Drosophila melanogaster: one gene and its partner. The protein of the gene in region 1 purifies or fractionates together with the protein of each later gene. This does not show direct contact. Each region holds a gene or a part of one and is shown on either strand. Other genes may lie near its edges. The genes, in order: Elba2 and Elba3.

Region 1 (3,998 bases):
GTTGTCCATGTTTTGCTGTTGGCCCTTGTTGAGATCGGTAAAACTGCCATTACGGGCTTTGACTTGGGGTTTGGCTGGTAGTTTTATGTTCTGCCGCGGGATTTCTTCCTGCAACTGAATCTCCTGCAGCTTGCGGCGTTTGATGAACTGTAGTGGAGTGTCGGCGGACTCGGAGGAACCATCCCTCTTTATGCCGTTGCTAATCCTGTACTGCTGCTGGGAATTGTGATGATTGCTCTGCTGATGATTCTCGTCGCCCAGGCAAATCTCCAGGCGATCTGAGTCCGCAGAGGTGCTCAGGCTGTTCAGACTCTCCGCCGCCAGGCGAATCTCAATGGCATCCGCATCGTCGGGTGCCGAGATGATCTTGTAGTCCAGAATCTGGGGATTCTGCGCGGGCGCACATATCTCTGAACTCGGTGGCGTGAGAATGTGGTGGCTCTGGACCGCGGGCGGCGTGGGTGGTCTACTTTCTGCCAGCAGGGAGGATGCCTGTTGCATCCTGGCGGAGGTGGCATGAATCTGGGATAGCAGATCCTTGTGCTGCTGCAGTTTGGCCTCCAAGTAGCGGACCTTATCGCGGAGCGCTCTGTTCTCGACCTCCACTTGCGGGTCCGGCGCGGAGATGCTGCGAAGCACCTCGAAGTCCACGCTAGAAGTCTGCGACCAGGCATTCAGAAACAAGGGCTTGCTCCTCCTTGCCTGCGAATCCTCGCGTGCAGTGGCGCTGACTATGCGCTGATATTGCTGCAATTCGATGGGAAAAACTCTTGATCAACATATTCGGTGGAGATATCCTGCAGCTACTCACGTTTTCCATGTTCAATCCTCAAAGGATCTGCGTCAACTGAAAATTGGCGGCAGAATGCGAAAAGTGGTTGCATTCCTACCTGCACGCACACATGCGCACGCATATACGGGGAAGAGAGCGCCTGCCTCTGCGTGTGTGTGAGTGTGCCCTCCAGGTAGCTGATATCCTATTCCTGTTTCTGTTTCAGGACCCCGTCTATTTCCCAACTAGTCCAAGTCCAGCTGTCTTTTCCTTTCTTCGCATGGGATTTGTTGTTTGCGCGGGAACCAGTATATGTATTATAATTATTATTATAAATAATTGCGAATAAAGCTGCTTTTGCTCTCTCTTTCATCGACAGGGTTGACACCTAGGGCTATGAAATAAAACTATCGGTTGCAAGTCACGAGGGTTTTAAATTTTTAAGTTCTCTCTATAAAGTTTTTTTCTTTTTCTTTTCAGAATATCCGTTTGGTTAAAATTCTGTATTCTGCACTTTGGCGAAGGTCAGAAAATAAGAGAAAAAAGTAAATGTAACAAAGGAATGTGTAAGAATTCTTTCCACAGTTCCAAGAACCAAAAAGGACAATAGTTGGGTTTTGTAAAAAAAAAACCGGTTTTCAGGACCCGGACTGCATATTATCCATTGCAATTTGAATGTATTGGGAACCCTTCCAATACATGAGATCCTTTTGGAATATAATTCTTCGCTCAAATGCTCTCTGATCGGAAAAAAAACACCCTTAAATTCCATTTTAGAAGGGATACCTATTTAAGGGTAAGTCTACTGGAATTCCGTCCATTGTAATGCATTTTGAATGAGCGGAAAATACACTCAAGGATATATGGTACTGCCTTTAAAATTTCAAGGCATAACTTTTTGAGTTAAAACATGTACGAGTATTTCGTATTTAAGACTAGCCTTCAGAAGCAAACGGTTTTTTAATCATGTTACTCCTATATTTCCATAAGAATTTAAGTAAAGCCTAAAGGCGAATATTTTAGACTCTACTTCCAATTATCGAATGCAAATTATCTTTATTCGGCGACCTTGGCAGCCCTGCAAGATTAAGATTTTCGGATTCTCAGGTATCTGGCGCAAGGAACAATAACTGTTAAGCCGGGCCATAAAACACCAATTTTTCCAACGAATAATACGCAAAATAAGCCAAGAAAGCCGACGCAGCTGCGTTTTTTGCCAGAAATAAACCTTTTTGCCTTTACCTGTTGCCAAAATCCGCGTGCAAATGGCCGGCGGATTTCGACCGTACGATCAGGACTCGTGTCCTAACCTTACAAATAGCGAGGCTCCGGAATTCAGCATGTCAGTCGTTTGCAAAACGGAGCCGCACTACTTTCATCCGCAGACTGCTATCCTGCCCAGCGTCCAGTACTCCCACCCATATCACCACTATCTGAGCCAGTTCGCCCCGAACTTCGTGCCCTACTACTACCGCCTGCTCTCGCGGCCCATAATGAAGCAGGAGGAGATGGACATCGAGAACTACATCAACTACGAGGTGGCCGCCCAGCAGACCATGATGCGCCAGCGGACCCTGAAGCCCCTGGGTCAGCTGCAGATCCAAATGCCGCCTCCCATAATAGTCAACCAGCCAGTTAAGCCAGTTCCCGTTAAGGCAGTGCCAGTCCGCCGAAGCTCTCCGCCCAAGCGACGCGTCATCAATGCCCAGTTGGTAGCGGTAGCCACCGCTTCCGGGGGCATTAAGAACATCGAACCGCGGGTGGAGCCACTGCCTCGCCTGGAGGAATCCTTTAAGCAGCAAGTGGCCAAAATCCAGAAGAGTCAGCACCACTACGAACAACTCTTTGGTCGTCTCACTTCCATGCTAAAGACCCTGAATCAGCGGTACGACAACGATGCCGAGGATGTGCCCGCGCCGCCCTCCAAGAGACCGCGCCACATGTCCACCAGTTCGTCGGAATCGCACATCCCAGATACTGCCTCTGAAAAGGACGAGAAAGACACTCTTGTGCAGTACCCGCACCGAGTGCAAAAGGAGGACGGCAGTGCGGTGTACGTACTGGGACCCAATGGCACCCAGATCACAGCCCATCAGTACGGTGAGGTCTTCTGGACCAACGCCCCGGTGGCCACGAGGTGTCTTCTTTGCGTTGTCTTCAGCAGCGATGAGTTGGCTACCCACACGCTGACCGGGAAGCCGTCGCCCGCATTCTACGGCCGCGAAAGACCCCCAAAGCTCCAGTTAGACCAACGCAAGGTGGACGACATCGTGGTCTGTGTGAGAAACCGGACGGGCGGCAAGGAACGGGTGATTCGGGCCACCATCACTACCAAGTGTGCGGATACCGCCAAGAAGTACAAGAGGCGGGCCAAGAAGGCCCAGAAGGTCGCCATCAAGGAGGAGTATTAGCATGGAGTGGACAACTATTGGCTAGATATAATCCAGCTATGATCAAGCTCTTCTCAACGACGCGCCACGAAAGGCGCAGAAAGACATTGTATATATTCGTAGTAGGTCCTGCTAAAAGTAAAAGTAAAGTTATATAATCTAGCTGTGATTGAATAAAGACAAGATGAAACCAATTCAAAACCTGAATAATATGGGAATAGGCAGAGTTACTTCACTTTTCTGTCCATTGCTAAAATTGTTCTTCGAGTGCAGAGTCAACAAAATTGGGTTTATTAACTCGATCGGGTGTTCTCATCAATCGCAGCCATTTGCACTTGAATTTAAAAATAATTATAAGCTATGCCACACTACTGCTTCTTCGCCTTGGGTTCCCAGGCCTCCACTTTGTTGGGTGTTGTGGAGTAGGGGTAGTAGGCCTCTGCAAGAGCAGGATTGAATTAGGGGGCTTACTTAATGGGAATAGTGCATAGTTACCCTTAGTTCCGGAAAGATTCTCGCTGTGGTCCGCTATCCACTTGTACTTGGGGCGGCATCCATCGCGAATGGGAGGCAGATCGGTCTATAAGGAAAAAGGTAATAACATGTGCGACAAGATGTAGTCTAAACCCACCTTGTAGTGCATCCAGCCGTACCACTCGGCGGGAATCATGGATCCATCGTAGTCCATGTTGACGTGGGGGGCGAACTCGATCCAGCGATTGCGGCCGTAGAAGTAGTACGGGTTCTCGAAGTACTTGTTGCCGTACTTGTCGATGCCCACCAGGGTTCCGATCTTCAGATCATCGTTCCTGGAAAATAGCGCATATGCGGTTTTC
Region 2 (3,955 bases), 2.1 Mb from region 1:
AGCTAAGTGCCAGGTGCAGTTGGATACCAATAGACGCGATCTGCTCAGCGCTTGTTACATCCAATCGATCGATAAGAAGAAGTCCGTTTGTAAAGTGTTTATCGAGGAGCAGGGAAAACTGGTTGATGTGCCCTCCGATAATCTACATCCACTGCCACCAGATGAATTCAAGGCCTGGGACTTTGCTCGCAAGCGGCCCCAACGTCTCCACAATAGCCAAATGGGGAGACAGTCGGTACAAGGTGATCAGCAAGGATTCGTCCCTGACCCGATGCCTGGTACGGCTCCCTCGATGCCACCACCACCGGTGGCCGATCCTCGTCCGGTTAACGTAACAGCACAGCAGCCACCTGTTTTCGGGCCCTCTAGATGGATGGAACCCACCCGGCCGTTGATGCCTAATCCTTTGATGATACATCAGACAGGATCGTTCGTTTTCGTCCAACAACCACGAGTTGGTCCGCCGTCGGTCATGATGCACGTTTTGATAATTGTACACAACGCACCATACATGCTTGCGTTTGATCATGCCCCCCACCCGCCTGCACCCCAGTGCACTGCCCCATTTTAATATATTTTTTTCTTGTTTTTACAAATATGTCAATTTAAATATTTATATTTAACATGTTTAACATGTCGAAAATCAGAATAAAACGTGAAAAACAGAAATATTTATACGTTTATCATTTGCAGATCTTTATATATTTATTCAAATTACCTAAACATATAGTTTACAATTAGTATTTAATTCTAGCCTAATAATATTTACCATTTAAGTTTTAAACTTTCAACGAAACTTAGTAGACTATATATGTATAAAGAAAATGTGATGTGTTTGCCAACTAATGAAGTTCGTCTCCGGATGTGACCTCCACTACCGATCGCACCTCTCCGGACAAACGACTCTGCAGATTCTTGTTGATATTGTCCACCATGTCGAAGGCATCTATGATCATTTGGGCCTCGCCCTGCGCCTTTTCGCTCATCTGTTCCAGACTTTTTCGCAACTCCCTGTGCTCTCCAGTAGTGTCCCGCTGCTCCGCCTTCTGATACAAGCTGGTTCGCGAGAAGAGGGCGGTGGACGTCATGTGATCGGGGTGCTTCTCCAGTTCTTCGGGCAGTGGAAAGTCAATATCAAAAGAGAATCGTTGCAACTCCTCATACTTCGCGTCCTGGACCTCTTTGTCCTGGCCATAGCTGATGACCACCGCCTGGAGGACGATGTCGCTACCAGGAAGTTGCATGTAGGCAATAACGTCCTTAAAGAGATTCTCTTTCCTCCACACGGTTTGTCTGTACTGCACCACCTGGTATACCACCATCTCCGGTTCGGGACTGTATTGCACCAGCATCCAAGTGTCATCATTCATGGCCTCCGGTTCAGCTTCCAAATTATCATCGAAGGCGAGATCAAAGCTTCGCGCTTTCAGGTGCAGTAGTATCTTTTCCATATAATCACGACTTTCGTAGGCATATAGGATGTGGGCAATGCAGCCGGGAGCCAACCTCACCAGAGGATTACCCTTCAGCTCGGGCTTGGTGCTCAGCAGCATTACATTGTTTGGAGAAACAAGTTTCTGGATGAGGCGCTCGCCCGCCTTTTCATTCTCGGTGTACTGGACCAACAGTTGCTGGCCGCCGGCATCTTCCCTCTCCTCCTTGCTCATGGACAGCAATGCTGCATCCACCAGGCGCCTCTCATCCGCTGCCAGTATGAGTTTCGCCTCCAGCACCATTCCATTGACCCGGAATTCTACGAATCGGGTCATGTATTTGTCTGAAACATCTGACTCTAGGAGTTCCATCGAATGGAGAACGCAGAGACGGCGTCGACCATTTGGCTTCCCATCCTTCATCAAGCCGTCATCGACTTCGGCCAGGAACCAGGATAACCGAGTCGCTGCCAATGGTCCATTGGCGCTGACAACGGCTCCACTGTTCGCGGAGTCATCCAATCCACTGTCGTTGCTGATGTTGCTCATGATGGCGGATGTGTTTTAAATATGTTCGGAAAAGATTTGAACAAAGTTTTAATTGATATAATTGGCTTGGCTTTGGTTCTTTTCTACGCGTCTTGTTTGAATGTCTTGATAGGTGAAGAGTTCTTGGCAAACTGATGAACTCCTCCTCGCTGCAAGCTATTTTATAGATGTAAATGGGTTTAGTTAAATGGTTCTACCTGCCGTAAACTCCATACTTTTATCTAGGCTTTCTAATGTCTAACATCTGTCAGTTCGAAGGGATTAAAACTTGGTCCGGCTCATACTGGGATCTAATGTTCTAATTGTGTATTACCTGCGAAGGACGCTGATTGAGCGGATTTTCCCAATGTGCAGCTGCTTAGTGGCAATAAATGCGAATTGCAAGTTTGCGACATTTCTACATAGGAAAATAATTTAATAAAATAAGACAATATATTTTCATAAAAAAAAATTCTAGAAAAATGTTGTTACAAAGTCTTAAGGGAAATTTAAATGGTATGAAAGCTAAAGTGCATTATGGCTATCGAACCCATATGATGAATCCTATTCATCATCTTGAACGTCATTACACTGGCCAGAAATAATGCGTAGGAATAAACTGGATGTCTTGGCCACATCGCTCAAATCCTTAGAAGAAAAATTGTCAACCAAGCTACTAGTGACCGCTCCTCGGCCAGTTAGTTCTCGATTTCCCATTTTGAGGGCATTGGTCACGGAGAAGAAGCGGGACGCTTGTCCAGCGGGCAGACCGAGCACACGAGTGCAAAATTCGACGACCCTTTCCTTGTCGGCACTTCCATCTGGTGCAATCTCACCGCCGCACTGCCGACGGCAAAGTTCGTCCAGTGGACAGTCCCTGGGATCGTACTGCCTGTTTTTGTCCAGCTCACAGAACGTGGGAATGTCCTCGAATAATCCTATCCCGATAGCTTGGTTGATGGCCCTCCCACTTCCCAGAATGCAGCCTAGGTCCTTGCCGGTTGCCATCTCACGCACCTTGATGTGGTAGACATTATCCTCTTGACGCAGTATGGTAAGGACCACGTCATCGAAGGGCCGCTGCCCAATTAGCCGAAATATTTCATCCATCAAGGAATCCAGAATGGGCAGACTGCCATCGCCACAGTATTGACAACCACGTGGCGGGTTATTCATCCGCTGGGTGTTCCTAAAAATTGCACTTGGTTTAGATTCTCCTTCTAGTTGACAGGAACCCCTACGTCCGTTCGCATCCAATTCCATATCCGACGTCTTAAGTTCCGATTTCAGTGCAGTGGATTTAATATTATGAGGAGTTTTCGAACAATTGAAGCTGGTCATCGGATTGGCACCCAAAATGGTTTTCTTCTCTGATATGCTCACTTTTTTGGGTCTGTCCTCCTCGAGGCTGTTGGATCTCGTAAACATTTTTACGAATTCCGGCAGTAAGCGATCGAATGAGTAGGACTCTGATTGGGCATTCTGCGCCTGATTATTTTCACACGACTTGGATTTTGTGAAATGACTAATAAGCTGTTCAATAAAGGATTTGTATAATTCCTTCTCTACACTTTTATTGGATTGTTCGGAACTCTTTGCCTCCAAGCAAGATGTGGAGGAAACCTTTGATTTGGGTTTTTTAACAATTTCACCCAGTAAGTTTTCAACCCCATGTTCAGTATCATTTTGTTTCGTGGGATTTGCAGAGAAAGCTGAAGTATTTCTAGACTTGTCGGAAAGTGTTTCTTCGCTTTTTGTTTTAGCAAAAACCCGATTAAATTGTTCTAGAAAATTTTCGGTATCTTTTAAGCATTGTTTAGCAGTTGGGAATTGGTCACCTTTCAGATGCATTTCATATCCATTCGCCTTACAACATCTCCGATTGTCTTTGCTAGAACTTCCATTACATTCTCTACTGCATTGTAGACCAGTTGAGTTTTCCGAGTTTATTGGGGTATCTGTGGTGCGTTGAGAATTATTTGATTTCTGCTTTT

What was found.
Region 2: the proteins of Elba2 (region 1) and Elba3 fractionate together in Drosophila melanogaster (co-fractionation; one study listed by BioGRID). This does not show direct contact.

What each region holds. Positions count from the first base shown.
Region 1 is NT_033779.5:2,575,826-2,579,823, forward strand, and holds Elba2 (early boundary activity 2), read left to right. Parts: upstream 1-1,861; 5' UTR 1,862-2,037; coding exon 2,038-3,183; 3' UTR 3,184-3,354; downstream 3,355-3,998. Other genes in the region: insv (insensitive), read right to left, coding at 1-747, 812-820; ND-B17.2 (NADH dehydrogenase (ubiquinone) B17.2 subunit), read right to left, coding at 3,531-3,601, 3,658-3,742, 3,794-3,971. UniProt on the Drosophila melanogaster protein: The heterotrimeric Elba complex is required for chromatin domain boundary function during early embryogenesis.
Region 2 is NT_033779.5:4,685,676-4,689,630, reverse strand, and holds Elba3 (early boundary activity 3), read right to left. Parts: upstream 2,121-3,955; 5' UTR 1,983-2,120; coding exon 843-1,982; 3' UTR 675-842; downstream 1-674. Other genes in the region: CG3251 (uncharacterized protein), read left to right, coding at 1-571; CG11929 (uncharacterized protein), read right to left, coding at 2,526-3,955. UniProt on the Drosophila melanogaster protein: The heterotrimeric Elba complex is required for chromatin domain boundary function during early embryogenesis.